Linked DNA regions of Arabidopsis thaliana. The protein of the gene in region 2 interacts with the protein of the main gene of each other region in a pairwise test. Each region holds a gene or a part of one and is shown on either strand. Other genes may lie near its edges. The genes, in order: AT1G20910 and AT1G78930.

Region 1 (15,903 bases), about 22 Mb from region 2:
ACCTAAGAGAAACCTGATAACATCATTTCTACAGTACCAATAAAAGAATCCAAATTGATGAGTTTGGGGATAATGTGAGGTTTTTCAACAACACTTACAGTCTCTCATCGCTATAACAAGTCACAAAATTTATGAAGACGATAAGACAGATGAGCAAGTAGCATTCTTTATAGCGTAAATCGATCATCCTACGAGTTCTGTATCAATCCCTAAAGAAGAAAACGATTTTTGTCAATTTGATGAATCGGTTAAAGTATCAGCTTCATGTTAAGCAATCTCTGCAATATTTTCTCTCAGCAACGGAATACGAAAATACCAGAAGTTATAAAACGCGCGAAATCGAATTGACTTACCAGAGATCAGTCTCTCGCCGGAGATGACAGTTTCTATGCGACAATTGGATCGGCGAATACGATTCCGGCGACTTCGGAGAAAGACTCAAAATCGTTGTCGACGATCGCTAGCGTGAGACTTGGGCCTTTGATTAATAATGTACTGATATATTGATTGGGCTAATTTGAGGCCCAATTTAATATACTTGGCTTGTAGACAAAGTGAAAATATAAGCGGATCATGACCCGTCCACGTCACTCTTGCGAAAATCAGGACATAAACTGTACACGTGGTCAGATCTCCACGTCGAGATATCTACGTGGCGAGTTCTAAGGATATTTTGTCCTGTCTTTTTGTGGGGTCCATTTATGGGCCCAAAGGCCTTCGACACTAACTCAGAAAGTCCAAAATAGTAAGGTAAACATGTGGGCTCCTTTATAAACCAAATTGGCAATTTGCCCATGTTGCTTCCTTCCTACTAAATAGTTAAATTCTATTCAATATATCACCTTTATTTTTGGTTTTTAGATTATTATACGTCAATAAAATCACCTTTTAATGTTTACTATATACAAATTATAATATTTAATCCAACAATATTTTCTAACACCTTTTAGTTTGATAGGTTTTCTCCACAAATTGACTAGAAAAAAACAATAAATAGGCATTTAGTTTTGAAAAGACACTTGGTTTTGTTTTATTCTCCGGCTTTTTATTATTATAAAATAATTTAAAAATTGGTGGATGGGGTGGTGGTAGATCACAAGTCGCCAAAGATGTGAGAATGGGATTGGGCATTATCGAAAAAGTTGACCCGTAATTTCTGATTGATCACACTACTTTTGAGTTTGTTTATAAAAAAAAATATAGTGGAGAGTCTGGAGACCACTGATAATAAATTGATTTTTACTAGTTCCTGTAAAAACTTGTGACTTGTGAGCATCATTACGTAGGTAAAAAATATTATTATACACATATTATTTTTATAGTAACATAGGTATATTTGGGAAACCAAGGTCTCCAGGTTGATAGGAGCAATAAAATACTGGTTTCAATTCATACTATTAGAGTTGTCTATGTAGAATCAAATGTCAAGTCAAAGTCGTAAGAGTTATTTATAAATATATATACTATACCTTCATATATAGCTTAATAATATATAGAGAAATAGAAGAGATGGCCACAAAACGCTATGATTAAGGATATGACCATGTAATTATTGATCTGTAGAACAAATTTACAGTCCATTATATTGTTAGATAAATAGATTGATGAATACTTAGTTAGGTTCACGTATTTTATTTAGGTTTGAATCCAAATGATAACATAGTGATAATGTTATCACAAACCATTAATCATATCATGGTACTTAGATTCTCATATTTATTTTTCGAGTAATGTAGATTTATTATCATACGACATACAATACGCAATACTGTAGGTCAATGGAATCAAATCGTTTTTTTTAAGATATAAAAATAATTTATTTATTTTTTACCAAAACAAATGAGGCACAATTTTAAGATTTAATATAGAAAAAATAGAAAAGAATATCAGGGGCGTTTTCATCTATCCACTTTATCAGAAGATCATTGCCAAATATTTTAACTAAAGCAATTTAATTTACTCTAATAATGTGCAACTCATCGTTACGTATTTCTTCTTGTACAAAGCTAACATGCGGGGCATGTTAGATTCCGTGCGACAAACTAAAAAGTATGATTTGATTGATAATTTGATATAAAGAGCTCGATTAGACTTGTTGATTGTTTTCTTATCTAAGGATTTTATGCATCCATATATTCATTATCAACTATGAACTATCAATGAATAATATTTCCAAAGTATGATATTTAGTAAATTAAATTCTGAATTCCTGATAGAAGGGGGAAAGTCTTCACCCGATTGATGTTCGAGTTTTTGGAGAAAATATAATCAAACTTAGCTGAGTTAGAAACTCGTTATAATACATGTTCTTTACTTGGTTTAAAAAAAGCCACGAATTGATAAATCAATACTTTTTAACTAACGTACATAAAATTAATGAGAACTGAGAGTTCAAGACTAGCTAGATTTTTTTTTTCATTTTATATACAGCGAACTCATTGCTTACACTTTCAAAACTATAAAAACAAAATTTAAAGGTGCTGTAGAGAATAGAATCGCTATGTAAGTATAAACTTTAAGGATGGCATTAATATCTTATATACATCTGGCTCGTGGTATTTTGATTGATGAGAAAAGAAAGCAAAAAAAACAAAAGAACATAAATATAGAAGTTAAATTAGCATACTGATTGATGGGTACGGTATCCCTAAATCATCACAATTTTTTGCCCATATTATTTATTGTTAAAGAGGGTATGATATTTAGTCTCACGACCTTTACTTTTTGTTTGATGTTTTTTTTTCTAGATATAAAGAGCCAGCATTTTATTCACCAGTTGTTGGATTTCCCTAAAAGAGATACCCTTTCGTGATCGCATGAGAGCAGACTGGGGAGATACATATATGGAGTAGGGGCGTAGGCTGAAGAAGCAATAGCTAGCCACAATAAAAAGAAGAACAATAACAGCTACAAGATCATCAAGGGATCAATTATGAACCGAAACCAAATTGATATTCTTTAGTGCCTCCGAACCTCACATATCTACTGCATCCTTACGAGATATTTTGGTCGTTGGGAAAAAAAAAAAATATATATATGTTTTGATCAGTTTACGTGTTTGTCGGAACAATTTAGAACTGCTTTTATTCCATGTTTGGTAAATATATAAACTCTTATGGATACCAAGAACTTAACTTAGTTTTCTCTAATGAGTTCTCTAACATTGAATTCCACGCGACAGTAACTGGACGTCTGAATTCATTAATACATATATAATCTTTAATTAATGTGAGAGAAATGTGTTCATGATCTAGACGAGTAGCGACAGCGTCATAAGAACTTAGGTACAGTCACATATTTATAGACTTGGATGACGTGTAGTTCTCTCTCTTTATGGCTTAAAATTAAATTATATATCACATGAAACACCTCTCACTTTTCTGTTTTGGGGGCAAATAAAACATATCTCACTTATTTTCGAAGTATCTTGATAGTTCCACACATTCCGTTTTCGATCGATAGAAAAAAATTGGACCAGTTTATGATTAAAATACCGCACACAAAAGACTTCACGTACGTTTTTGCTTTTAAGCATTAGAAATACGGGCAAAAGACGCGAAAGTAAGTTAGATAGATTCGGGAGGAGTACTGTGATTGGATAAGGTATTGACCAAGTACCGATGATCCGACCGCCTCCACGTGGTCACACAGCTTGGCTTTCACTTTCATGCTCTGACCTTTTGACCGCACGTGACTTTTGTCTGTGCACGTGCGGACCAAGCTAACGTGTCCGGTTCAAGTACATTGCACCGAGCCCTGACTCGCCAGGTTACGCCGATGAAAACGACGGTTCCTGGGTCCCACATGCCATGAGGATGGACGGTTCCGATCCACTTCCTACTTTCCTACTGAGATTGGTCCCACCATGGTTCAGGCCACATGCGTCCACGTTGAGGGAGCTTAGGTGTTACTATATGGGTGCAGTTAAAAATTAAGACAACCAGTCACGGTCCGATATGAGGTCATGCATTAATGGGTCGGATCGAGTTTAGTCAGTTCAATAAATTAAGATGAATAAGTCAATAATTATTTGAATGGGTTGATGCAATTGGTAAGTGTTTTCAGGATTATCGTTTGTTTCCCAAACAATTTTTGTAAATTAAAAGTTTGATATCATTTGTATGAAGATGATATATCAAAAAAAAATTTTACTAATACATTACTCATTCTAAATCAATAAATTATCAGTGTCTAGTTGTCTTTTTCTGGTATATTTTTTTGTCCATGTTAGAAAAAGCGTAGTTCTAATTAGTGATTCACCAAATTCGACATAAGGCAACAAAGTGGAGTACTTATCAATAATTTTTGAAAATATAAAGTAGTAGTATCAACTAATTTGACATTTTGATAATTATCAGCTAGTCTTATCACATTAATGGATCATTAACTTTCTCCAAACTTATCATCAAAAAGGGTCCACTCCGTTTTACGATATTTAAAGGAGTATACATGGGTAGATCTCACTATCTCAGTATAGAACAAAGGACCATTACCTAGATTGATTGTTCTACGTTATGCGCCTTATGCCCTCTTGACAATAAAAGTGAATATAAAGTACTTTAGTAGAACATTGATTCTTTGATATATAATTAGCTCGGGTTTAGCAAGATAATTTAGTAGCAACCAAAAAAAAAAAAAAACACATCACAAGCAGAATTAATCAATTGTTGTTCTGCAGCGCTTAAAAGTGACTAATTCTCTTCTTCTTTTTCTATAGTAAAGATGGTTCGTATCCGTTTGTTTATTATAGAACGTGGGTTCTTCTTAGAATATTGTATTCGCAAGCCATATACTATATATCTATTTTAAATTATTATACATTATATTTTTACAAAATTAGTTGACAAAACTAATAATAATACTATACATGTAAATTTTTTTTCTTTTCTTCTTCTATATAACTCACGTTCTGCATCCAGTTTGAATATGAATAATAACATATATCAGCAGCACTATGCAAATCACAAGCCTACAAATATCTAGTAATAATGCAAGTTTATACTAAGTTTTACAATAAAAAGATGCGTAAGTAAATTAAAATTCTAAATAAAATGACCTATAGTAGTATTTTCTCAAGTAAGAGAAGACTAAATAGTACTATTTCTCATTTTTACTTATACGAAAACCTTTTAATTAAGTTACTAAAACCATAAATAAGTTAGTAACATGATAATAACATTTATCAAATAACTTTTGTTTAAACATAACCTCCACGCGCCTTAAAGGGAATGTAGGATTCGTTTTAATCCTTGTGTACCCAACTTCCACTTGACATTTTTTTTTTTTTTTTTTTTTTGTTAAATGATACGTTTTCTTTAGCTCGTATATAATAGTATCTGATAAACAAATTGACCAAATGTTATCTCTTCTGTTAATCTTATCTCATGCTTTCAAATATAAGAATTCCTTCTCTAAATTTCTTTTGTATTATCCGATTGGAGCCAAACAAAAACTGCGACGAACCCCTAGTTTTCTTTGGTAGATCTTATGTAAGGATAACCACTTACACACATAAATTTTTTTGTCGGCATTTGTGTATATGTAATAAATAGTATTAATTTACTTAAAAAAGAACATATTATTCAAATAATAATTATTATATTAATGATATAATAAAGGGGACTGTTTCTCCGCTAAATTCTCGGTGTATGTCTTTGCTTTTACTTTCCTCGTTCAATGAGAGGACCAAAAATTTATTGCAGAGTCGCACATGAATCTCAAGCTTCTCTCTCCTTTTTTTCCCATAGCACATCAGAATCGCTAAATACGACTCCTATGCAAAGAAGAAGCTACTTCTTTCTCTTGCCCTAATTAATCTACCTAACTAGGGTTTCCTCTTACCTTTCATGAGAGAGATCATTTAACATAAGTCACCTTTTTTATATCTTTTGCTTCGTCTTTAATTTAGTTCTGTTCTTGGTCTGTTTCTATATTTTGTCGGCTTGCGTAACCGATCACACCTTAATGCTTTAGCTATTGTTTCCTCAAAATCATGAGTTTTGACTTCTCGATCTGAGTTTTCTTTTTCTCTCTTTACGCTCTTCTTCACCTAGCTACCAATATATGAACGAGCAGGATCAAGAATCGAGAAATTGATTTGAGCTGGCGAATAAGCAGTGGTGGGATAGGGAATTAGTAGATGCGGCGGCGATGGAAGGCGGTTACGAGCAAGGCGGTGGAGCTTCTAGATACTTCCATAACCTCTTTAGACCGGAGATTCACCACCAACAGCTTCAACCGCAGGGCGGGATCAATCTTATCGACCAGCATCATCATCAGCACCAGCAACATCAACAACAACAACAACCGTCGGATGATTCAAGAGAATCTGACCATTCAAACAAAGATCATCATCAACAGGGTCGACCCGATTCAGACCCGAATACATCAAGCTCAGCACCGGGAAAACGTCCACGTGGACGTCCACCAGGATCTAAGAACAAAGCCAAGCCACCGATCATAGTAACTCGTGATAGCCCCAACGCGCTTAGATCTCACGTTCTTGAAGTATCTCCTGGAGCTGACATAGTTGAGAGTGTTTCCACGTACGCTAGGAGGAGAGGGAGAGGCGTCTCCGTTTTAGGAGGAAACGGCACCGTATCTAACGTCACTCTCCGTCAGCCAGTCACTCCTGGAAATGGCGGTGGTGTGTCCGGAGGAGGAGGAGTTGTGACTTTACATGGAAGGTTTGAGATTCTTTCGCTAACGGGGACTGTTTTGCCACCTCCTGCACCGCCTGGTGCCGGTGGTTTGTCTATATTTTTAGCCGGAGGGCAAGGTCAGGTGGTCGGAGGAAGCGTTGTGGCTCCCCTTATTGCATCAGCTCCGGTTATACTAATGGCGGCTTCGTTCTCAAATGCGGTTTTCGAGAGACTACCGATTGAGGAGGAGGAAGAAGAAGGTGGTGGTGGCGGAGGAGGAGGAGGAGGAGGGCCACCGCAGATGCAACAAGCTCCATCAGCATCTCCGCCGTCTGGAGTGACCGGTCAGGGACAGTTAGGAGGTAATGTGGGTGGTTATGGGTTTTCTGGTGATCCTCATTTGCTTGGATGGGGAGCTGGAACACCTTCAAGACCACCTTTTTAATTGAATTTTAATGTCCGGAAATTTATGTGTTTTTATCATCTTGTGGAGTCGTCTTTCCTTTGGGATATTTGGTGTTTAATGTTTAGTTGATATGCATATTTTGGTTTCTCGTGTTTATTTCTTTTCTTCTCATATCTTCGGTAGATGTTACATGTTAGAGAAATGCATGTGTCTCGTTATGTTAGAAAATTCCTTTCCATATATGGCTTTCTTTTATTCATAGCTAGGGTTTCGTGTTGTACCCTATAACTATTATTATAATTAGCTCGATTTGATAGATATATAGGTCTAGACTATTCAATAATGAGTTCGTTTGTTCTTTTAAGAATTTTGAGCTTCACGGCGTATTCTTGATGAAATATTATGTGGGCACATCTCAGGCGCTCATTTGAATATTTTTACAATACGTCAATACGTTACCTTAATCATAGTATAATATAGTTCTTTCAACTTTTTAACAACCTCAATGTAGTATTCATTATAAGGTTAGAAAATTATTATACATATTGATCAATATATACGTTTTGTGCATCTAAATTCATTATTCGTACCATTTGAGTACTTGTAGCGTCTTTTAGCCGAGTATACCTTTTAAGATCACAACTTCTGTGTCATATCTATCTATCTATACGGTGTTATTGTGTTAAGAGTACTGTCATATATACCCATCTATATATAAGGTGTTAAGAATATGCTTACATATTGATCAAAACGTGCATCGTTCTAAATTTTGTAGTTAACCACTTGCCTGATTAGAACGTCTTTTTAGCCGTTTGTACTTACAGTTGAAAATTCCATTGATTGGTGTAATTGGCTATTTAATTACGACAGGGCCGTCTAAGCGATCTCGAGTCTTACCATCTAGGAAAACAACATGGGCAATTTTTAAACTATTTAGCGTTCATACAGTTTCTAGTGTTTTAAAAATACTACATGTATACCTAGTGGCCATGTTATGACCTTTTTCATTCGATCACTACAGTTACTTAATTACATGCATAAAATATGCATTAATGCTTCAGTTAATTAACCGTCGATCCTGTAAAATAGTTGTATCCAACATTATTCAAAGACAGGTTGGCAACAAGTACGTAGCTTTAAGCTAATATTTATAGGTCACATATGCACAGTACCATTTATGTTATAATCGTAGTTTTTGGTTTGAGATTTCCAACCCCTTAATTTTGGCTGGTATGGAGAATTTGTCTCAACTCTCAACCAACACTTCAAATACATATTCTGCTCTTTCTCAATCTATATATATTTCTGTCCCAACAATTTAAATATATATATGGAATATGGTTTTATACCGGTTTATATATTACTATTTTCGTGTTTCTTCGTCACTACAAAATATGAGTTTTTATATATATATATATATATATTGATAAAAAGAACGAGTAAATGATATTGGGGATACTTGTCTAACTAGAGAGATAAAGAGTGAAATTCTATATTCTGCTAAAACTAATCATATTCGTTAAATAGAATGGAATCATTATCTAACATCCCACTGAAAAGTAAACAAATTCATTCATAGAAGAATATGCTTCTGCTATTATGCAAAATATATAACGAGGGGATTACTTTTATTTATTTCATATCTCATACTACATCTTTATTATTTTCCATTTATTCATCTAATCTTTAACCATTTTTAGAGCATAGTATTGTTTTTTGGGATTTTAGTCAATGTATATTGGTTAAAGACAACCGTTACAGAGCACAGTAGAAACATGAAGTAGAGATTATCTCACGTACGTCGGTTACATACAAATTAGTGAACTTAACATGGTAAGATTAACAATGAACATAAATCATTTGTAGTGTCAGTTAAGAGCTAGTCTCTGTCACAACATAACAAAAAATGGGGTTTTGATTACCAAGATATGTGAAAAAGAGGAATGTTCCAATTCCCTAGGGACATATTTATTGACTAGGAACAAAAGGAAGCTTAAGCAAGTAGTAATATTTTTTTATTTTTCATGAGAAAGTTTTAAAGTTATTTAAATGATACCAACATACTAAAACGAATTATAGTTAACTACTTTCAGGTAGCTTTGTTACGCCTATTCAGCTATAGGTGCAATATGGGCATATGGCAATACATAGTTGGGGTTGTAAAGCTACTAAAATTTTGATGAATATGTTATAACTTAGATGTATGATTATTATTGATTGAATTAGTTCTAACTATTTTAGGATGATTTGTTTTTTTTTTACAACTGATATCATGGAACAAATTGCAGATTAATTTCACAAGTCACAATCTACAGTTCTTAGCTAAATATTATAGTGATCAGATGTCTCTTAGTAAAAAACGTTTTAGCTTTGCCAAAATATATAAAATATAAATTAGAATCAATACATATACTTGGAATCATATGACTTTTTTTTGGGGGCTTGGAGAAAGAGCATTGTAGTTGTAAATATTATCAAATTCCCATGCGGTCATGTCATGTGCCTTACATGCAATTGAGCTACACCAAGTTGAGAATCAGCAATAAAAAACCTTTTTTGATCACTGTGAAGTGTGAACCTTTTTGCATGATTAAAGAGAAAGAAAACAAGTTGAGAATAATGTTTCTTGTCTTAATACTGCAGTATTTTCTGATGACTCAAAAACTAGAGTGAGCTTCAAAACTTTTGAACCTTAAATTTTCGTCATGAATTGATGATACATATATATATATATATATAAACAAGTAATGAACCTTTTTTTCTTTTCTAAATCATATATTCCCGATCATGAACTTTTTAGATTCAGGGAAATGTCAATAAGTTTTTTGCTGTTTTCGTTTTCCCTTTAATAATATGCACCACCAATATATGCATACTTTCACTTTCACTTTTTGAAAACAAATCATCTCAGGAGAACTTTTGAAAACCGAAACGCATGAGAACCTAAAAGTATACTATTGGAAGTAGAACTAGTAGATGGGATAGGCAAATCTATTCATCTCTATTAAAAAAATATGTATAAGAAAAGCATAACATTCCGATTTTAGATCAAAATCATCATTGTTGGTTGCATCCTAAATGTCTTTGGAGCAGTTTCTCCTACTAATCTCAAATTATACAAAAGAGAAATATTACAGTAAGATCAAATGTTTGTTGCATGTTCCTAACTTCAGTCTTCAGATTCAAATCACAGTTACAAAACTGCTTCAGCCGCCTAACAATTTGGTTCTGAAACATATGAATTCCTAGAAGAAACCACGAACAACTGACCAGCTCTCTTGAAATCCATTACTGCTCAAACGGAACTCGTATGAACAACCGTCCATGCATGCTCATGACCGCGGATGTGTGAAGCGGATCAATTCTTGCTGATAAGTCAACAATCTGGTGAAAACATATCAAAATGACAGGAAGGTTCTCAGTCTCTGTATCAGTTCAGTTAATGGACATATCTGGAATATAGAAGAAAGTTTTACCTTTTTGAAGGGTGTAATCCCCCAAGGATTGTCAAGCTGCTCTGGCTGGCCTGTTATAACCACCTTTCCCGCAGGATCTGATTGAATTCGAACCTGAGAAAAGACAACGTATGTTCAGTAATTGGAACTATGTACTGATTTTACCAGAAAATACTTATTGCCTACAACACTGTGTACTGAGACTATGAAACTAAAGCCAACGGATCTGCTTTGGTAACCTACCAAATCGCTTTGTGCTTGCTTTGTATTGTCACAGTAATATGCATTCAAACAAAATTAAAAGACAAGGACTTATCAAGTAGCCTTCAGAGACAGGGTTACAAAGGAGTGCTCACCTCTTTGCGAAGAAGTCCAGGTACCAAGGCAAATATCTCGAAGGAATCCTTCTGTGAATTCAAGAAAAAGGAAAACAGATTTGGTAAGAATTCCATATTGGAAACAAACATCCAGTTTGCAAGTTTTTGGCGTTTCTTTAGCCGTTGGCAGAAGTTACTCACAGATTCTTTGACATTTATCTTCACCCAGTCAGCAACGGGTCCAACATCAACAACCTCAGCAGCCAACCTATCATGACAAAAAGGAAACCTTAACGTTAATCTATAGTAATATGTTCAGGTCCAGAAAATGCTACGTTTTCATCTCATTACTGCTAAGAGGCATTGAAAGAAGAACCAAAAAACTAATATAACTATCTTAGAATTGCAAATAAGAAGGAGAGATCAGCTTTCCGTAACTGTTTGTCAGCTTCATTTGTAACAACATGGTCCATGCTAGTTTGTTGTTTGTGTTTTTGCAGCCCTGAAAAAACCGTTTAAAACATAACGTTAAGCAACCCTCGTTGACAAAATAGCAAAGCCTTGAGAACTATTTTGTACCAATGCTTTTGAGTTTCTTGTGCTTTGGGGTGGAAATTAAGCCCTTATCCTGAAACAAAAGGAGAACATCATTTTACTTCCGAAATAAAAAACGACAAAAGAAATAAAAAGTCTTCTTCTTTCTACATGTGAGTCAGATTCCTTGGTGCATGAAAAAATTCTGCATAATGGAATCACAAAGTGCAGTAAGATTTGAAGTGAAACCTTAACAGCAGGCGCAGTAACCTCTCCAGATCCAACAAGGCGCTGCGCATGCCAACCTTGCATAGCACGAGCTGCAGAATCTCTTCGTGCCCTGCCTGACCCTGAACCTTGATGGCTACTTGGCTACAGCAAAGTCCTTGTATCAGGGAAGAAAAAAATATGGAGAAGGGAAAAAAAGGGAGGCACATGAATTTTCGTTTAGGTTTTCTGCAACTTATATGGTAATTTACTGGGTTATGCACACGGATTTCTTATGGCTTTTGTATCGAACACAAAATGGCTACAGCTTTCTTCAGTCAGATTGCAGATAGTTGGGTTTAAAAGGTTTAGCTGGTATTACATAAATGCTGAAAAATAACTCTTATGCTATCATTTCTTCAGTATCAACGACATTTAATCACAGTACATGAAACCTTCCCACAATAAATTGACAAGTAGATACTCTTCATTAATTTTACGGTGCTAGATCGATCTTCATCCAAACTTTCCATATCTACCATTATTTCTATATATTATTCAGTAGTGTCTAAAATCCAAAAGCCATTTTTTTAGGGGAAATTCATACCTCTTTCTCGACACTGGAAGACAGAATCAATGTTGAACCAGGAAGGTTAAGCTCACCATTATTCCTTAAACACTTTTCGTACTCCAAAAGTGCCTGCAATTGAAGCAAAGATATAGATCATATGTACCTGTATCTATATGATAAGATAGAAAGAAAACAAGCAGTGCATTCAAACTTCGAAGTGACAAAAGAATAGTCCAAAATAAAGAGCTACCTCAGCAAGACAAAGAATTAAACTAACTATTATAACACACCATACTAAGAAGAAGCACAAGGAGAATTGTCTGAAGTGGATAAGTAAAAATGAAGACAGGATAAATATACGATACTTATGCACAAAAACAAACTCACCTTCTCATAGAAATTGCGGAATGTGTAGGAGACTGTTGTGCATGTCCTGAATAAAGATAGTTTAACCAAATGTGGAAAAAGATTAGCATTATGAAAAATTGGTAAAGACTAACGGAGAGTCTAAGGAAAATATCAGCCATACTTGGGAGGATTGAAGGATTCTCCAACTTGCCGCCACAGCTTATTTGTGGTGACCTACATTACCATGAAAAAACAAAGGAATCTTAAAGACCATAAGTCCAGCAGAAGATTAAGAAAACATTGAATATATAATTCCAAATATAGCTAACAACAGTAAAATAAATCAGTTTCCCAAGAAAATATCGAACATTCTTTAATGTTTGATATGTTCGCTTAAAGTCATAAATCTTCTCTGAAAGCCACATCGTTATAGATACTCTTATCATAAATTAGCTTACGGATTCAATAGTTATACCCTATATACAGTTCATATGCCATCCACAATTCAAACAATAAAATGTAGGTGATAATCATACGGGCCAACTTAAATAACCAAGACTTATAAACTGACGAACTAAAAACGATATGGTTTTGGATAATTACCACTTCATAGCCACCTAGGTTCACGACTGCTCGCCAAAGCCTACATTGGATGCAAAAGTGAGGCACTGATTAACCAGATATATGGGTTTATTAAGAACAAAAGCACCACTTTTCCAACAACTCACTTGAGAATGTTTAAAGGCTGTCCATAAAACTTAGGAGGTTTAAATTCCAGGAAACTCTCTTTGTAAAAGGCCTCCACTTCTCTTAGAAACGCCACTTGTTCTACCGGTGTCCCTGCTTCATCAGTTCCCTGTGCCTGTAGAGAAAGGTGAACCAGTAAGTGAACAATCACCACATAATTTTCGACCACAAAACAGTGAAATCCAATCCTGAGAAAACAAAAAGACACAGGCTTTTTGAGCCAAATTGAAAGAAACATAGCCTAGTACCTCAGAATCCAGCAGCCAAGTCTTCCTCTTTTTGGCATTCTCACCTTCAGTCTTAGGACTCAACATTTGCACCCTACGAGTCTTCCTTTCAGAGTGGTCAACAACTCCAACAGCACCACCATTCATGCCATGACCATTATTAGCCTGACCATCTCCAAGAAGAAGGGGCTGCGGGATTTCACTAGGGTTGTGATCATTTTCTGGCTCCAAAGGTTCTTCCTCTAAATACTTTGTCTCAACAAGGGCACCAAAAGTCACATCTTGCTCTTGCATTTCGGTATCCACCATCTTAAGCTTCGATTTCTGTTGTGGAGTAGTCAGTCACAGCAAGACAAGGACAAAAGAACAAATCCAGAAGAAAAAAACGAAGAAGATAAAAAAACTGTATATAACTAACTATTGGTGATTCCAGATTAAACAAAAAGGAATTGTCTTTCTTCTCCGCCTGGAAACTATAGCTTCTCTCTCTCTCTCTCTTCTATCTCTAAACGCAATTAAGAATTGGAGCAAACTCACTCACTCTATTACTACAAAACCTCATCCTAATCAAAACTACCACAGATAAACAAGCCGAGAAGACCTTTCAGCTTCCATAGAATACAGAGAGCAGCAAAAAAAAACATATGCTTACCAGTTCTGCAGCGACGGCGACGGCGAGTAAAGGTTGGTATGAGAACGCAGGGACTCCGACGGCGCGCTAGGGTTTAGCAGCCGGAGAAATTGAAAGAAGCTGGAGGAAGAAGAAGAAGAAGGAGATACAGAGAGAGAGCTGAAAAAGGAGAGACAATTCGAAAGAGGAGAGACAATCTTATGTTAATGGAGGAAGGTATTAGTAAAAAAGATGGGATGGGGGATGTTATGTGGTTTTTAACTTTAATTTGTTTTACACTCAAAAAGTAAACAATTTCTTTTCTTCTTTTTGTATCTATTAGTCTTTTTAGACTTTCTTAATTTTTGGTAAATATAGGATTTGTAACCTTTTATTGTTGTTGAATGTTGGGATTTCTACTATATGTAATAACCACGAAAGATAAACATTGAAAAAGTTTTTTTTTTTTTTTTGCCAAAGGGTGTTATTATATATATGAAACATTGTACAAAACATATATACATAGAAGAAAGGAGCTATATGAAATTTAGGTTTACGAAATTACGACAACGATTACGGAGGAAACAAAGAAGATCGAAATTAGTATAAATACGATACAAAAAATATTAAAAAACTTAGGTTTATAGAAAAGTTTATGAATTAATTTTATATTTTTAACAAGAAGTTCAAGATGATAATTAAAATATATGATGTTGAGACTTGGAAATAAAATTTAGGTTTCATGATTTGGAGTTAAGATGTGAAAACTATATCATAATGGAAATATCTATATATACATGTTTGGAGGGGATTTTTGAAGATAATGTTGAAGATTTGAGCCATAATTCAACAATTAATTCAAATGGGTGGGTTTTACTCGGCTTAACTCTGTTCAGATCCTGGATAACATGTTTAATTCAGTTCTGATCTTGGATAACATTAGTTTTTGGAAAAGTTACCTAAAAACTAATAATTAAAAACGAAAATTAATGATTTAATTACCAAATTTAATATAAACAATATCTCTAAACTAACCATATTTCTTATTTACCTTAACTAATTTCCTAAAATATTTCTACCTAATTTAAACATAAATATATAATTCTTCTTTCAATTTTATTTGATCTTATACTTTATTTATTTTGAATTTATATAAAATATATATAGTTAATAAAATATTATATTTTTTTCTGAATATGATGTAATTCAAATTTTTTAAAACGGACATATATTATTCAACCTATGAAGAAATAATATGTGTACAATGTCCAACATCGCTTAGAAAAATTGGACAATGGTTCAGACCCATATTATAAAAGGACCAAAATGATTCTGATTATGAATGAGCATGAAGCTTGATTTATCAGGCGTCCAAAATTAAAATAGTTATCCGATTTTACTCGGATTTTTTATTTTAAAGAATTAAAACTTTAAAATGTTTCAAAAAATTATAAATATTATAACTTTATCAAATGTTAAATATTATAATTTTAAAAACTTTTTATAAAGTTTATCTTTAAAAAATGCTTTAAATATTTATAATTTTAAAACTTATAAAGTTTTAAAAATTATAAATTGAATTTTACAAGAAATTTAAACATTACAAATATAGAAAAAATATATTAATACGAGATGATATATTACAGGAAAAATCTTAAAAATTGGGTCGATATTGTATTTTTTTAAGTTTCAAATTTTATAATATTGAAATTTATAAGAAAATGACAAAATTATGTTTAATTTCACGGGACTGGATTATATGGTAGGACGGGTTTGGGTGGATAATAATTACGATTTTAGAATGTTCTATATCGCTTAAAAAAATTGGACAATGGTCAAG
Region 2 (14,489 bases):
AGTTGCCCCATAGCATTGACTTTACGCCTCTACACATAGTCCGAAGGGCTAATTCAGCTCAAAACATGATGATGGATGAAGATGTTGAGCAGGCCAGTTTGATGTCTTTCAATGACAGGCCTAGGGCTTTTCCCAACATGCGTAGTAAAACCTATAGTCCACTGGTACAACTTTTATTCCTCTCTTTCTTGAGTGCTTTTCTTTTTGCTTGCATCAGATCACTGAGATGCGTATTATAACTAGTTTCCTTCTATTTCGTTTAGCATCTTAGTTTCTTGAGCATCTCGTTTTCATTTTCTTTGAAATTGTATAAAGTTTAGTTGTTTTTTGGCAGATATTCCGGATTATTAGGAAATTAAATGTCCGTGTCCTTTCGATAATTCTGCTTTTCTGCTTCGGAGCAATCTTTTACATGGGGGCAAGTACTTCTCCCATCATCGTGTTCGTCTTCACAGTATGCATCATCAGCTTCCTTTTGTCAATATATCTAACCAAGTGGGTTTTAGCGAAAGATGAAGGACCTCCAGAGATGGTTGAGGTAAGCTCACTCAGATTATGTGGTGTTAGTCATGATGTTGACATTTTTCCTTCTTTGTTCTCATCAAAAATTTGTAATTCTAATTTGTGAGGTAATTCTCTTACTTATAGATATCAGATGCTATACGTGATGGAGCTGAAGGTTTTTTCAGAACGCAGTATAGCACTATATCCAAGATGGCCATTTTGCTAGCTTTTGTGATTCTTTGCATATATCTATTCCGTAGCTTAACTCCCCAGCAAGAGGCTGCTGGTTTAGGAAGGTGCTGATACATGATTACATTCACAAGATTTATTTTATCTTTTGAATTGTTGTGAATGAAGCTTAGCCATATTACTATTTTGCTGCAGGGCGATGTCTGCTTATATTACTGTTGCTGCATTTCTTTTGGGGGCTCTATGCTCAGGTATTGCTGGATATGTTGGAATGTGGGTGTCAGTTCGTGCTAATGTGCGGGTCTCCAGTGCTGCCAGACGATCTGCGAGAGAAGCATTGCAGGTTCTTCTTTAGTTTAGCTATTTTGGTAACATGTCATGTACACGTTTCCAAATACTAAGTGGCAGATATAATGCAGATAGCCGTTCGTGCTGGTGGGTTTTCAGCCCTGGTTGTTGTTGGTATGGCTGTGATTGGTATCGCCATCCTCTATTCTACATTTTATGTGTGGTTGGGCGTGGGTTCACCAGGCTCAATGAATGTTACTGACCGTAAGTCTTCTGCTCTTTTTTTTTTATGAAAAATATTCATTTTCGTCTTGTGTGTATATTCTATAATCATTGTACTGAGTTTCAAAAAGTTATTGTTATCTTTTCAAAGGATCATTTTCAGACATGAGCAGTATTTTCTTAAATATGTCATGACTTGTATTAATCTTGATTGAGGTGGGGTACCAATACAGTTCTAAGATTTTCAGTGAACCCTATATGTAATTCTCTTGATTTATTGACCAGAATTTGCATTTGCATGGGCGATAGTGGAGCTATTAAACTTGTAAGATTTATTGATTGAATTTTCTGTTTCTCTTACAGTACCTCTTCTTCTTGTCGGATATGGTTTTGGTGCTTCGTTTGTTGCCTTATTTGCTCAGTTGGGTGGTGGAATATATACTAAGGGAGCTGATGTTGGGGCAGATCTCGTTGGGAAAGTTGAGCAGGGAATTCCCGAGGATGATCCTCGAAATCCTGCTGTTATTGCTGATTTGGTATTTGATCTTTGTTCTTTTTGTTTCTTACTTTCTTGATTCTGTGATTCCCAAACGTGACATCCTTGTTTGGGGCATATATCACTCTACAAGGGTTTGCTTGTGTTTTCGTCATTTAGGCATTTAAAGCCATTTTCATCTTCTTGTAGGTTGGAGACAATGTGGGGGACTGTGCTGCTAGAGGTGCTGATTTATTTGAAAGTATAGCTGCAGAAATCATCAGTGCAATGATACTAGGTGGAACAATGGCTAAGAAGTGCAAAATTGAAGGTGCACCATCTCTCTTTAAAGTTACTTCTGGTATATGCAAATATATAACTTATGGTGTGAGTTCCTGACTCATACCGAGAAAATTAAATGAACTGCTAGGATTTTATAATCTGAAATGCAAACTTAGGAAGAGTTGCATAGAGAGTTCAAGCTCGTAAATTACATTCTGTATACAGAATAATCTACGCTTTATTGCATGTTTTGGTCACTCCTTGAGGATTTGAGGGTACATTATTACTTGTTAGGATTTAAAAAGTCGACATAAGTTGTATAGAGTTATTGTTTGAAGCACCTTGTACGAACCTGCTATGCATTGTGTGAAAATTGAAGGAAGACTACTTTTCATGACAGCAAGCTACACTTGGCTGCAGTCAAAAAATTTCAATAACATTACCCATTTCTAGCAGTGGTTGTTAGATATGCGCTGATAAACATCCTATTAAACCTCTTGTTCATGCTTGATACTTACTCAAATCTTTCTCTATTATGCAGATCCATCAGGCTTTATCCTTTTTCCTCTAGTTGTTCATTCTTTTGACTTGATTATATCCTCAATTGGTATTCTATCAATCAAGGGAACACGTGATGCTAGTGTGAAATCTCCGGTAGAGGATCCAATGGCTGTACTTCAGAAAGGATATTCTCTGACAATTATATTAGCTGTTATAACATTTGGCGCGGTAATGTTGTCACACATAACCATTGATTGTCTTGTTCCTTTCATTCTTTTTACAATTAATTCTGCTTTTTATGGGCTTTTTGGTTCAGACTTTTCATTAGCCTACACTAGCCTTGTTATTACTGAAATTTCGAACAAATTCTTTGCTATATTCTTCTGACAGCATTATTTATGTTTGTAGTCGACTCGCTGGCTGCTTTACACTGAACAAGCTCCATCTGCATGGTTCAATTTCGCCCTATGTGGGTTGGTTGGCATCATCACAGCCTATATCTTTGTCTGGATATCCAAATATTATACAGACTATAAGCACGAGCCTGTTCGGACGTTGGCTCTTGCTAGCTCGACTGGTCATGGGACTAATATCATTGCTGGAGTAAGCTTGGGCCTGGAATCAACTGCTCTTCCAGTTTTGACTATAAGTGTAGCTATTATTTCTGCGTATTGGTTGGGCAATACCTCGGGTCTAGTGGACGAAAATGGTATTCCCACTGGAGGTCTATTTGGAACAGCCGTTGCTACAATGGGAATGCTAAGCACTGCAGCTTATGTCCTTACTATGGACATGTTTGGCCCCATAGCTGACAACGCTGGTGGGATTGTCGAGATGAGCCAGCAGGTAAGATGTCACATGATTGGCTTGAAAGGCTCTTATGTTCCATCTTTATTCTATGTAGAAATAATAAATGTTTCGTGCAGCCAGAGAGTGTCCGTGAGATCACTGATCTTCTTGATGCTGTTGGGAACACCACAAAAGCAACAACGAAAGGGTTTGCCATTGGATCTGCTGCACTTGCATCATTCCTTCTCTTTAGTGCGTATATGGACGAGGTTTCAGCGTTTGCTAATGTGTCTTTCAAAGAGGTAGATTTCGTTATGCATCGTTGCTGTATTCTCGATGTTGAGACAACTTCTCATACTCATCCTCGGATAAAATCAGGTTGATATTGCTATCCCAGAAGTGTTCGTTGGTGGATTATTGGGTGCCATGCTTATTTTCCTCTTTAGTGCTTGGGCATGCGCGGCAGTTGGTCGAACTGCACAAGAGGTTGTCAACGAAGTAAGAAGGCAATTTATTGAGAGGCCTGGCATAATGGTGAGCATATTTTTCCTTTTGAGTGCTTCACCTTTTCTTGTGTATTGGCTTGTACCGTTGTTGACTAGCAAATATCTTGTTGCAGGAGTACAAGGAGAAGCCAGATTATAGTCGCTGTGTCGCCATAGTCGCATCTGCAGCTTTAAGAGAAATGATAAAGCCAGGAGCTTTAGCTATTGCATCACCCATTGTAGTTGGTAAGTCAGTAATATCTACTCGTTTTTCTTTACTTACTGTATTGAAAGTTTGAAACCACAACATTGTGACCAAAAACAAACCTCTTGTTCTCTCTTTCAGGTTTGGTGTTTCGAATCTTGGGTTACTACACAGGACAACCTCTGCTCGGAGCAAAAGTTGTAGCTTCTATGCTCATGTTTGCAACAGTTTGTGGTATCTTAATGGCACTTTTCCTAAACACGGCGGGAGGTGCTTGGGACAATGCAAAGAAATACATAGAGACCGGGGCACTTGGGGGCAAAGGAAGTGAAGCTCACAAAGCAGCTGTGACTGGTGATACGTAAGTATTTTCGTTCTACTTCAACACTCATTCAAAGTTATATTCCTGAATACGATTTCTCATTAGAATTCATCTGAAAATTGTAGCGTGGGAGATCCGTTCAAGGACACAGCCGGTCCATCCATTCACGTCCTCATAAAAATGCTTGCGACTATAACTCTCGTCATGGCTCCGGTTTTCCTCTGAAAGTGAACCGTTACTTATCCATCCCGGCTTATTTACTCTCTTGCACATATACAAATAGAGAGGGAGAGAGGTTGGTTATAAAATGATTTACATGGATTAATGGTTTTTGTGTTTCATTTCATCTGAATAAATGAGATAATTCTGTTTTTGAGTTTAGAGACACTCTTTAAGGAATTCTAGAGACATTTTAATCAACCACATCTTTGACTTTGAGAGTCTTTATTTTCCTCGATTTAATCTTTCTAGTACTTCTTCTTACTCTTCTTGATTTGCCTCCAACTCGTACAGACAATTGTCTACTCGGTAGTCTTATGAGACGGCGGTTGTTGCGATTGCTGCCATGATGGTGGTGGCTGTGTTTGCTTCCTAGTCTTCTTCTTCTCTGCTTTGGTCTAATGTTATCTATTCGACTGGGACTGTCCGATGAACTTGATTCATCATCACTCGGATAATCATAGGTCGTAGCTTCTATATCATCGAGACGTTTTCTGCGACGGTTGACCCGATTTATGTTAGTCAAACTGTGACACAAGCAACTAATCATCTCTCCAATGTCGAACCAGTACGCTGCACAAGCGGCACATGACATTTTGCAGATACTTTTCACAACACATTGGCAAATTCCAAGCTTGAACAGGAGGGTGATGAACATCAAAACTGGGAAAAAGAAACAAATACAAAATTATAGAAAACAAAGGAAAGTTCACAGAATCAATAGTGAATGCTAAAAATCGGAAATAAGAGAAAGGTTTACTTATGAAACAGAGGCTTGACATCAGCACAAGCTTTGCAATATCAGGAAGACAGAAATGTTCTATGAAACACTCAAGATCCCATGGTCCCGAGCATACATCTCTGTAATTTTTAAACAGAAGAGAAATCCTCAAAACATGCGATAGAAAAACAAACCAAAGCGATTTCACGACAGAATTCAGACAATGACGTGAAAATCTTACAAACAGGATCTTCCAAGTGTGGCTTTTAACGGTGCTGTGAAAATATTCCCGATAAAACCTCCGATGTCGTTTGATGCTTTGCCTATAGCGTTTCCCATTTTTGCTTAGAACGGTAATCAGTGACTCGCTCCAATCATTTTCTCAACAATCATGTTTATCAAACGTAAAGAGATAAATAAATTTTCTGTGAATTTTCAGAATATGAATGAAGTTACATCCTCGCGTACAGTTTCAGAAACGAAAGAAAAAAAATTGCGAGAAACCGTTTCCAGAGAGAAAATTCGGCATATTTTTCATAATTTTCAATAAACCGTTTGTTTTTTTTGGTCCAAAAACATGGTAGGAATATTTTGAAAACCCTCGAAAACAATTCATACACTTATACACACACATCAGCCGATTTTTTTTTGGTAAGAAGTTAGGAATTTGTATACAAACACTGGAAGTACATACACTAGCGGTTATATGAACAATGCAAACAGACAAAACTGAAGAAGCTTCAGAGATATCACCAATCTCATTACATAGTGTGATTTTCTCTAAGAAACTTTTTCACCTACAATATAACTACGAGATTTCACTGTGAGTTTGAAGCTCTCCTAAACCCAAGAAATCAGCAGCAAACTCTTCATCGTTTTTGCCTAACATTTCCTGTAATGTACATTCTATGTTCCTCCCTTTGAGTACCCTAAACCGCGGTTTTATCCTTTTCTCTAGCGAGTAACTGAAGTACCTTGGGTATTCTATTACCTCTCTTACCGGCTTCTCCATGCTGTTCACCAGAAATTCAAACTTCGGTCTCAACACTTTGTCGATGCTATATCCTAAGATCGGTGAGAATTTGCGAATCATGAAGGCAATCTCTCTCTCTGATATCCCAATCTCCATTAAGTACTTTAGCCTGTAAGAGCATATGTTTACAAAATTAGGGGTCATTTTCTAGAGATAGATTCACTAAGATGATGTGCTATTTGGGTCAAGATAGATACCGTGGAAGTACTGTTTTGTCTGCGTCGTATATGAGAAATTCAGGGTATTTCTTTATGATTCGGGGAAAATGTGTAGTGGAAACACCAAAACGAGTGAGAAAGATGAGCTTTTTCTGCAGGGTTTTCTCAATGCTGCAGCCAAATATTTCAGGACATCGACACAGTATTTGACCTACAATTTCTTTTTGAAACCCCAAATCTTCCAAAAAGCAAACAACCTGTTACAAGATGAAGAATAGCGTGGTTAAAGAAATAGTCTTGCACAATAATAGAATGAGAGAATACATATCTTGGAAAGTGGTTTCTTTACCTTAAGAAATTCTTGGGGTTTACATAACAAAAGCTGAGGCATCTTGGGTATAACCTTCCCCATTCTTTTATCTCTAACACCTAATTTATCAAATTCCTTCACCATCATCTCCATATTGCTGGCTGAGCAACCGAGAAGCAAAGGCCATCTCCTAATGGCGTGGTCAATATCCATTTTGAGCACCTAAGAAAGTAAACCAGGTGTTGGTAGACCAATCATAGAACAAAAATGATAAATACAACTTAGCAAACACAAAACCACCAATTTTCTGATCAACGTGATGTATTCTGTCTTGTCAAATTGTGCTTACCGATTCACTGTAAAAAAATGAGCCGATGTGAGAATAGTTCTCTTGTATGCTTGGTGAGAGAATCCACGGATACTTCAGCAACAATTTTCCAGAATCCTTGTTCACTACACTTACCTGAACTTATACAACCCCAATTTGCAATAATCAGCAATCACGAGAAAACAAAGAAAGTGCAGCTCCATGCTAATTATGAACAACCAACCAACCATACCTTCTCCATAGCTGTGGCTACCCTTCGTTTGATCTCCTCAGTTTTTCCGAGCATGATGGGAGGGTACAAAAGAAGTACCTTTCCCAAGCAATATTTCGGAATACCAATGCTTTCAAGAAACTCGACCATAGGCTTCATATCATTTTCTTCTGAAAGTAGAAGAAGCCGAGGGAATGACTCGAGTAAAAATCTAAATGATGCATCTACAGAGCCCAGCATATCCAAGCCTCCACGCCTTGCTTCAATCTAAAGTACATTTTAACATTCTCCTTACTAAAGAATATAGAGAATGAAAAACAAAATCAGATACTATAATATAACTGAGGAAACACAAAAAACCTTTTCGAAAAAGGAAAGAGTTTGCTGCACATCTTCATCGATAGGAATGGATAAGTAGAGCATCATTCGTCTTGCATACTTTCCAACCAGACCTTTCTCATCACTGCCAGAAAAGAATATTTCCTTGAGGTACTTAACCTATAATCCAAATCCAAGATTAAGTACCAAATCCAAACCCAACCTAACTCTCTTTTGATGATGCAGAGAAATTGAACAATCTGTGAATTACCTTATCGAGAAGTATCGGAAGCGATTCAGAGGAGACGTAATGAGCCAAATACATAGCAGAAGACAAACTCAAACCAAGACTCTCCAAAAAGGCAACTTTGCCACCATCACCCTTTTGTTTCACCATATAAATCACTTTCTCCTTAAACCCTAAACCCTCCTCAACTCTCTCAGATTCTCCACTCCCTTTCCACGAATTCCATTCCTCCAAATCCCTAACACCCTCTACGATCATTCGCGTGTATTTAGGACAATTTGAAGAAATGAAATCTGAATCGGCCTCTGAGAGTCCAGTGTCTCGTCGGAGAAACCCAGCAATTGAATTCTGCGCTTCCTGATTTGTCTGCGAAGAATTAGAGCTAAAATTCGAATCTCCGTGCTGTAACGAGGCGGAAACAGTGACGCGGCCACTATGGTAAGCTGGAAACAAGGTTACGCGACGAGGAGAGAAGAAGAGAGAGCTGGAACTAAAGTTACAGGATTTTAAAGGAGGAGAAATCAAGGTTAGGGTTTCGAAATTGCAGGACGTATGTAAAAGCTCCATAAACAAACACGATGGAGAAGAAGACAAAGGTCGCTACTTTGCTTCTGCCCACATCAAGAGGAAGAAGAAGAAGCTGTTGCAGGGTTTATCTGTAGCTATGGGTTTAACCATTTTGATTTTCAAAACCAAATTAATTAATAAAACCAAAATCCCGGTTGGGTCAAACCGGTCTGAGCCATTGGGCCTATTTATATGGGCTCTTACATTATCGATTCTTTAATAAATACAGTATTGATTGTTCAAAACCGTTATGGGCCTAACAAAAAGGCGGTTACATAACTGATTATTTAACAGAATACCAAATTCCTCTAATGCTATACACTAATCAGCAAAGAAACTTGCTCTGCTTTTGTTTATAACTCCTGCAAATTGAGTGTTAGAGCACATTTGCTTCCCTCATATCAAAACTAGGATTGAGATTCTGCAGCTGGAGATTCCGGAATCGAGACTTGGCTAGTGTTTGGAGACTTTCCTTGATTTCCTGCATAAAACACACTCTCTAAACTCTCTTCACCTATCTCTCTTAACCGATTGAGCTCAGGCAATATCTCTTTCCCGAGGTCAGGTCTATCTTTTCTTCTTAGTTCCGCGCATTGAAGCGAAAGCTTTGCTAAAGATAGAGCTTCTTCTATAGGCCAGTCCGGTACTGCTGGATCAAGCATATCCTTAAGAGTCCCTTCTTCGATCGCTTGTTCAACGTAATAAGCCAAACCCATTGGCTGTTTTGCGGTTAAGATCTGCAAAAGCATGATTCCAAGAGAATAAACATCTGACTTCACACCCAACATTCCTGTTTGTTGGTACTCAGGATCAATGTAACAGAAAGTTCCTGCAGCTGAAGTGACTCTGTACTGTGTAACGTTTTCCGCTACTGCAGGGACTAATCTCGCTAGCCCGACATCACTGATCTTGCTCACATAGTTGTAATCGAGCAGAACATTTCCTGGTTTAAGGTCTCTGTGGACAATTGGTTCAGGTTTGGTCTGGTGGAGGAAGAGGAGTCCCGTGGCGATCTCAGCAGCGATTCTGAAACGTAGCTGCCAGGTAATCGGCGGTGTGTTTCCTCGCATGAAAAGCCGGTCTTCTAAACTTCCTTTGGCCATGTATTCATAAACAAGAATCCCAAATTCTGGACAAGCTCCAAGAAGAAGCACCATGTTTGGATGCCTTATGCAGCTTAACACTTCAACCTGAGAAAACATAAACATATGTTACTCAAAGATGAAAACTTTCTTGTATAAAATCAGAAACGAAGAAAGATTTTTTTTTTACCTCTTTCTGAAACTGTGATCTCCCTTGAGCTGCGTCTGGGCGTAGAACTTTAACAGCAACACTTGTGTGATCAAGAAAGCCTCTAAAGACAGGACCATAGCCTCCTTCTCCTACCTTTTGAGACTCTGCAAAATTTGAAGTAGCTTCTTCGATTTCGTCAACCGTGTATTTCCTATACCGAACAAATCCGCGAGAGAATGAATCTGATTCCTTCATTGTCTTCATCTCTGCAGTCAACCTTCTTTTAGATTCCACTTCTGCTAATCTCTTTGCAGCTTCAGCAGCTTCCAACGCTGCTTTGGCTTTAGCTCTCTCCTTTTCCACTATTGACATTGCTGCTTCCTCTGAACTTTTTGCTTCTTCCAACCGTCTCTCCTCTTCGGTTCTCAGCTTTTGCAGCTCCGTTGCCTAAAAGTTCAAAAATCGATATTTGATTCAAATGTACTAATCTCATTGACTTAGATGTTAGTATTAAGTACTACCTGTTGTCTAGCGCTTAAAGCTTCTTTACAAGCTGTGCTATACATATCCATGGTTTGTTTCAGCTCTAGACGCAGCCTCTTCATTTCAGCTTCAACATCATCCTGCAACAAGACAATCCCATCTTAGCAAGTATTCAATCTTTATAAGAAGAAAAAGAGAAGGAGCTTGAGTAATAATAGTACTAACCAAGCTCTGAGATGAATAGGAGGATGTTCTACCACTCTCTTCAGAGAATGTAGAGGATTCGTTAAGGAAATCAGGATCACTGAACTTAATTCCCAAACGATTTGAGCCAATGCTTTGCTCTGAGCTCGTTGACATTCTTGAAGTCCTTGCAGATTCAGGAAAATCAAGGCTAAAGGAAGACCGCTCAACGCTTGGTCTTCCTGAGCTGATGAAGGAAATGTCAGAGTCACGATGAGAAGACGGACTGATAAACGAAAGGTCACTATCTGAATCATAGAAGTCCCCATATGGCTTCCTTTTCACCAACGGCGATCTACAAGAAAACATAAATGTTGAATCTTTTAAGACTTTATGTAAGACATTAACCTTAAAGACATCACAACAAGCTTCCAATTCCTATACCTATCTGCTTCAACTGATTTGCGCGGTCTAGATGGTGTACTACCTGTTTGCAAAATCAATGGAAACACACAAAATTGGATCAGCTTTTGGAAAAGCAAAGAACTTATTTTATTCTTTTCAAAGAGGAATGAACTAAACCTGCAGAATTGGGATGGTCATGGTACTTTGGTGCTTTGTCAGGAGTATGTGGGTGATGATTGTCAATTTCACATTGCTGCATCGAATTTTGGTAAGGAGCAGGACGTGATGCATTTCGTACTGAAGCAATTTTGCCTTTTGAAATGACATAAACATTGCAGAAATCTGGAGCTGATTTTGACACTGTTGTTGGCAAATCCGTCTTGAATCTTCTGCTCAGAGTCATCAAAAACAGAATCCTTTGAACAAAAATCCAAACTTTTTGTTACAGAATCTGAAAGAAGGTAACTTTAATTACCTCATGAAGCCATTACGTGATGCAGATCCAACGACTAAGTTCTCAATTGCAGAAGATGAAACATATTCGGTAATGGCTCGAACTTTGTCTGCGTCTTCCAGCAAAATGTCTCGACAATTTATCTGCTCAAACAGAATCGATTAGGGTTGTTCAAAGTAAGGACCTTTAAGGGTTTTTGATTCAGAGAATACCTCTTTACGGGAACAATAGCAGTGGAAGGATACAAAGAGATCTTTAGCTATCTTCTCCATTTGCTGTTTCTGTTGTGGCGTTCCTTCTTCAAGATCTGCAACAACGAAACCAAAAAAAGAACTTAAACTTTATCGAGAAGAAACTCTAAAAGCTGGAAATTCCCATGAATGTGAGAAGAAGATTGGGACCTGAAGAAGAATGAGATCTGCAGAGGACATGAATAAGAGAAATGGTTTGGCCACGAGAAGCAAGATTGTCGATTGTCCATTTAAGAGCATGTTGGCTTCCTTTGTCTTTGTCTATTGCAACTGCTACTGAACCACTTCCTGTTTCTTTCTTTGCCCCATTTGCTTTTGGTAGCCACATTCTCTTCTTCTCTATATATATATTATTATTATTGAACAAAAGGAAGAAAAGTATCTCTTCCCTCTCTTGAGTCTTTATGATGCAAAAGAGAAAACTTCACTTTGATTTGACAAAAAAAAAATAGAGTTTGATTGATCAAAGATTCTTTATGGAGGAAGCAAATGAAGTAGAGATGCAAGATTAATGGGTTGGAGAATTTCCTCTTTTTCTAATGGTTGTTGTTTAAGGGTTTTATTTTTGGCTGATAATCTAATTTCAGATTCTATAACACAAAAAAAAGATAAAGAAACAATAACACATTTGTGTGGTTTTGACTCTTTTGTTCAACATGTTGAAAAATTGGAAGAAACATAAAAAAAAAAGTGTAACAAATGGCCTAGTCTAAATTTAGACGATCACGCATCTCTGTATCTTCACCATGTGAAACATGCCTTCCAATGGACGGTACACAAAAAGAAAACATTGACTAAAAACATTGACATATCGCATACACGAATTCTTGTAATAGACTGATGATAGGTTAATAAATTCACATGTTCTCTGATATAAAGAAAAGTTTATGAAAAGTGTCGTCATGGCAACGAAACTCGCGCGCGATATTCTGCGAGTGCCCACAACGGATGAATGTTTCTATATGCAGCGTAGTGTAATGTGCAATTCTTCAAAAACACTCCGGTTGCTTGCTGAAAAAGTAATTAAACAAACTACAATTAGCTTTTAGCTTTGTTTTTTCCACTTCTATCAGTAAAGCTATTACAGAATTTGGAAGTTTTAAGATGATAGTAGCCATTTTGGTGTAGGAAACGTACCTGTTGAGGAAAATCTCCACTCTCCAGTTGTGAATTGATGATAAGTTTCGCAGCACGGTGAAGAGGAATCGGATCTCTCTCTGCCTGTTGTGTAAAGCACTGGTCATATATAGTACTGATTCATTAATTAATTGTATTTTCGTCGATCAATATTGAATGATTAAAACCTGTCCAGAGTGAATGAGACCCATTAAAGCCCAAGCAGTTTGCACCACGTTTGATATCTCCCCTACTTGTGCTATGTATATCTGCATAGATCAAGAGGATTGTAGTGACTGAATGATCCTACATCAAGTTGATTTCATCAAAATGTGCAAGTGTGTACCTTTTTGGAGCAAGAGAGGTAGCTTTCTCCCCAGCCTCCGTTGTCTTTCTGAGCTGCAAGAAGAAACTGAACGCCTTTGCGTATTGCCTCACAGTCGTTAAAAGTCTTACCCGCAGCTGCTAAGCCTGCAAGAGCAAACCATGTACCGTACGTGAAGCAAATGCCCCAGTTCCCATACCTGTAGATTCAAAGAACAATGGTTCATTTCTTGTTAGTTTGGATTTCCGTGAACAATTTCAGATAAATCGTAATCGCTAGTGTACCATGAACCATCACGTGTTTGCATGTTTTCTAGGTATTCCGCAGCTTTCTTGATGAAAGCGGTGATCTCTGTTGTCCTGTGATCAGGGTAGAGTTGCTTGAAAAGACTCAATGCTTGGATTGCAGACGATGTACATTCACTGTACTCATGCTCAATCACAATGTCGGAAAACATTTCTGTGGGATTGAGCAACTGAGACAAATACATGAAGAAGGTTACATGACCGCAAATGTTTTAAAAAGTATCTTTTGGTTGTTTGAAAATAATTATGGGGTTTGGTTCTTACTTCCAACCACTTGGGAGCACCAGCAGGCTCCCAGGCAGTCATACCTCCGTTTTTGCTCTGCAAACAAGTGAAACTGTCACGACCTGAAAATGGGTGTTTCTTTGATGATGTTGGTTCTATTCTATGTCTGATAATGCTCACCTGTAAAGAGAGCAAGATATTAACAGAATCATGTAGTCTCTCGGGGTCTTGTTTTGGGCCAACAATATCCGGCGCCAACATCGAGAACAGCAGGCAGCACTATGAGACCAGAAAACAGCAAGGATGTAGTACTCATGCCACTGAAGAACATGTCAATGTGTTTAGTTTTAACGGCTGGTTACCTTTAAGCCATGAGCTGTGCAGTCTGAAACTTGCCATCCGTGATCTCGGTCAGAAAAAGTCCATGCTCCTTTTGAAATATGACGGTACATGCTTTTGTAATCACCTGAAGGGTTCTCTCCAACCTTCAATTGTTTATCAATTTTAAGCTAATGTTCCATTTTTCAAAAGAAATAGTTCCTTGTGCTACAGTATATGCTGCAGAGATATCGAACCTGTGAATTCTTTATGAACTCATGTCCTCTCCTGAGTACATCAGAGATTTCACTGGAGAGATTGCTTGCAAGTAAAGCTTGCATCGCAAACCCTGTATCCCATAGTTGACTTCCAAAGCTCTGCATAATCAAAAAAAATTCGATTTCTTACCAACTCAAGGTTAGTAAACGTAACAAATTGGATTTCCAATCTCCATGGACATACCTGCATTTTCATCCCATCTTCAGCCATCCACAAGTAATCGGAGATTCTAGAGAGGTGCTTCTTGAAATAATCCCCATTCGGGTCTTCAACCCAACAAGCTAGCATGCATAGTACCTGCAGAAAGAGACTGAAGTTAACTCCAGATGCTCAATACTTTGTGTCTTAAGGTAAGGTGTTTTTACCTTTTCAACACACCCAATGGTGATATAACGACTATTTTCATCTTCATAGTGTATGTGTTTCATTGCCAATTGAAGAGCCTTTTCCCTAAGAAGCTTGTTAAATGGCCAACGTGCAAGGAAAGGCTCCGCAAAGATGTAAAGACTGTCCCATACCAACTCTTGAACCAGTGGAC

What was found.
Region 1: the proteins of AT1G78930 (region 2) and AT1G20910 interact in a two-hybrid assay, tested with the Arabidopsis thaliana proteins (one large-scale study listed by BioGRID).

The regions. Positions count from the first base shown.
Region 1 is NC_003070.9:7,266,874-7,282,776, forward strand, and holds AT1G20910 (ARID/BRIGHT DNA-binding domain-containing protein), read right to left. Parts: upstream 14,364-15,903; 5' UTR 14,106-14,363; intron 13,778-14,105; 5' UTR 13,763-13,777; coding exon 13,475-13,762; intron 13,342-13,474; coding exon 13,208-13,341; intron 13,123-13,207; coding exon 13,083-13,122; intron 12,714-13,082; coding exon 12,661-12,713; intron 12,565-12,660; coding exon 12,519-12,564; intron 12,261-12,518; coding exon 12,168-12,260; intron 11,726-12,167; coding exon 11,603-11,725; intron 11,448-11,602; coding exon 11,399-11,447; intron 11,322-11,398; coding exon 11,258-11,321; intron 11,088-11,257; coding exon 11,021-11,087; intron 10,910-11,020; coding exon 10,859-10,909; intron 10,617-10,858; coding exon 10,524-10,616; coding exon of another isoform or gene 10,446-10,523; exon of another isoform or gene 10,432-10,445; coding exon 10,336-10,431; 3' UTR 10,070-10,335; downstream 1-10,069. Other genes in the region: AT1G20890 (caveolin-1 protein), read right to left, coding at 1-2, 99-187; ESC (Putative AT-hook DNA-binding family protein), read left to right, coding at 6,151-7,086.
Region 2 is NC_003070.9:29,672,275-29,686,763, forward strand, and holds AT1G78930 (Mitochondrial transcription termination factor family protein), read right to left. Parts: upstream 8,484-14,489; 5' UTR 8,375-8,483; coding exon 7,832-8,374; intron 7,741-7,831; coding exon 7,603-7,740; intron 7,510-7,602; coding exon 7,264-7,509; intron 7,167-7,263; coding exon 7,053-7,166; intron 6,926-7,052; coding exon 6,743-6,925; intron 6,651-6,742; coding exon 6,433-6,650; intron 6,345-6,432; coding exon 6,011-6,344; 3' UTR 5,630-6,010; downstream 1-5,629. Other genes in the region: VP2 (vacuolar H+-pyrophosphatase 2), read left to right, coding at 66-164, 335-538, 649-800, 889-1,036, 1,113-1,245, 1,567-1,739, 1,889-2,009, 2,502-2,689 and 6 more; AT1G78922 (uncharacterized protein), read right to left, coding at 4,675-5,144, 5,242-5,342, 5,444-5,541; AT1G78940 (kinase with adenine nucleotide alpha hydrolases-like domain-containing protein), read right to left, coding at 8,580-8,630, 8,824-9,564, 9,647-10,054, 10,129-10,230, 10,316-10,628, 10,718-10,760, 10,856-11,067, 11,154-11,275 and 2 more; BAS (Terpenoid cyclases family protein), read right to left, coding at 12,284-12,394, 12,521-12,604, 12,688-12,768, 12,846-13,023, 13,109-13,299, 13,394-13,450, 13,535-13,633, 13,717-13,839 and 3 more.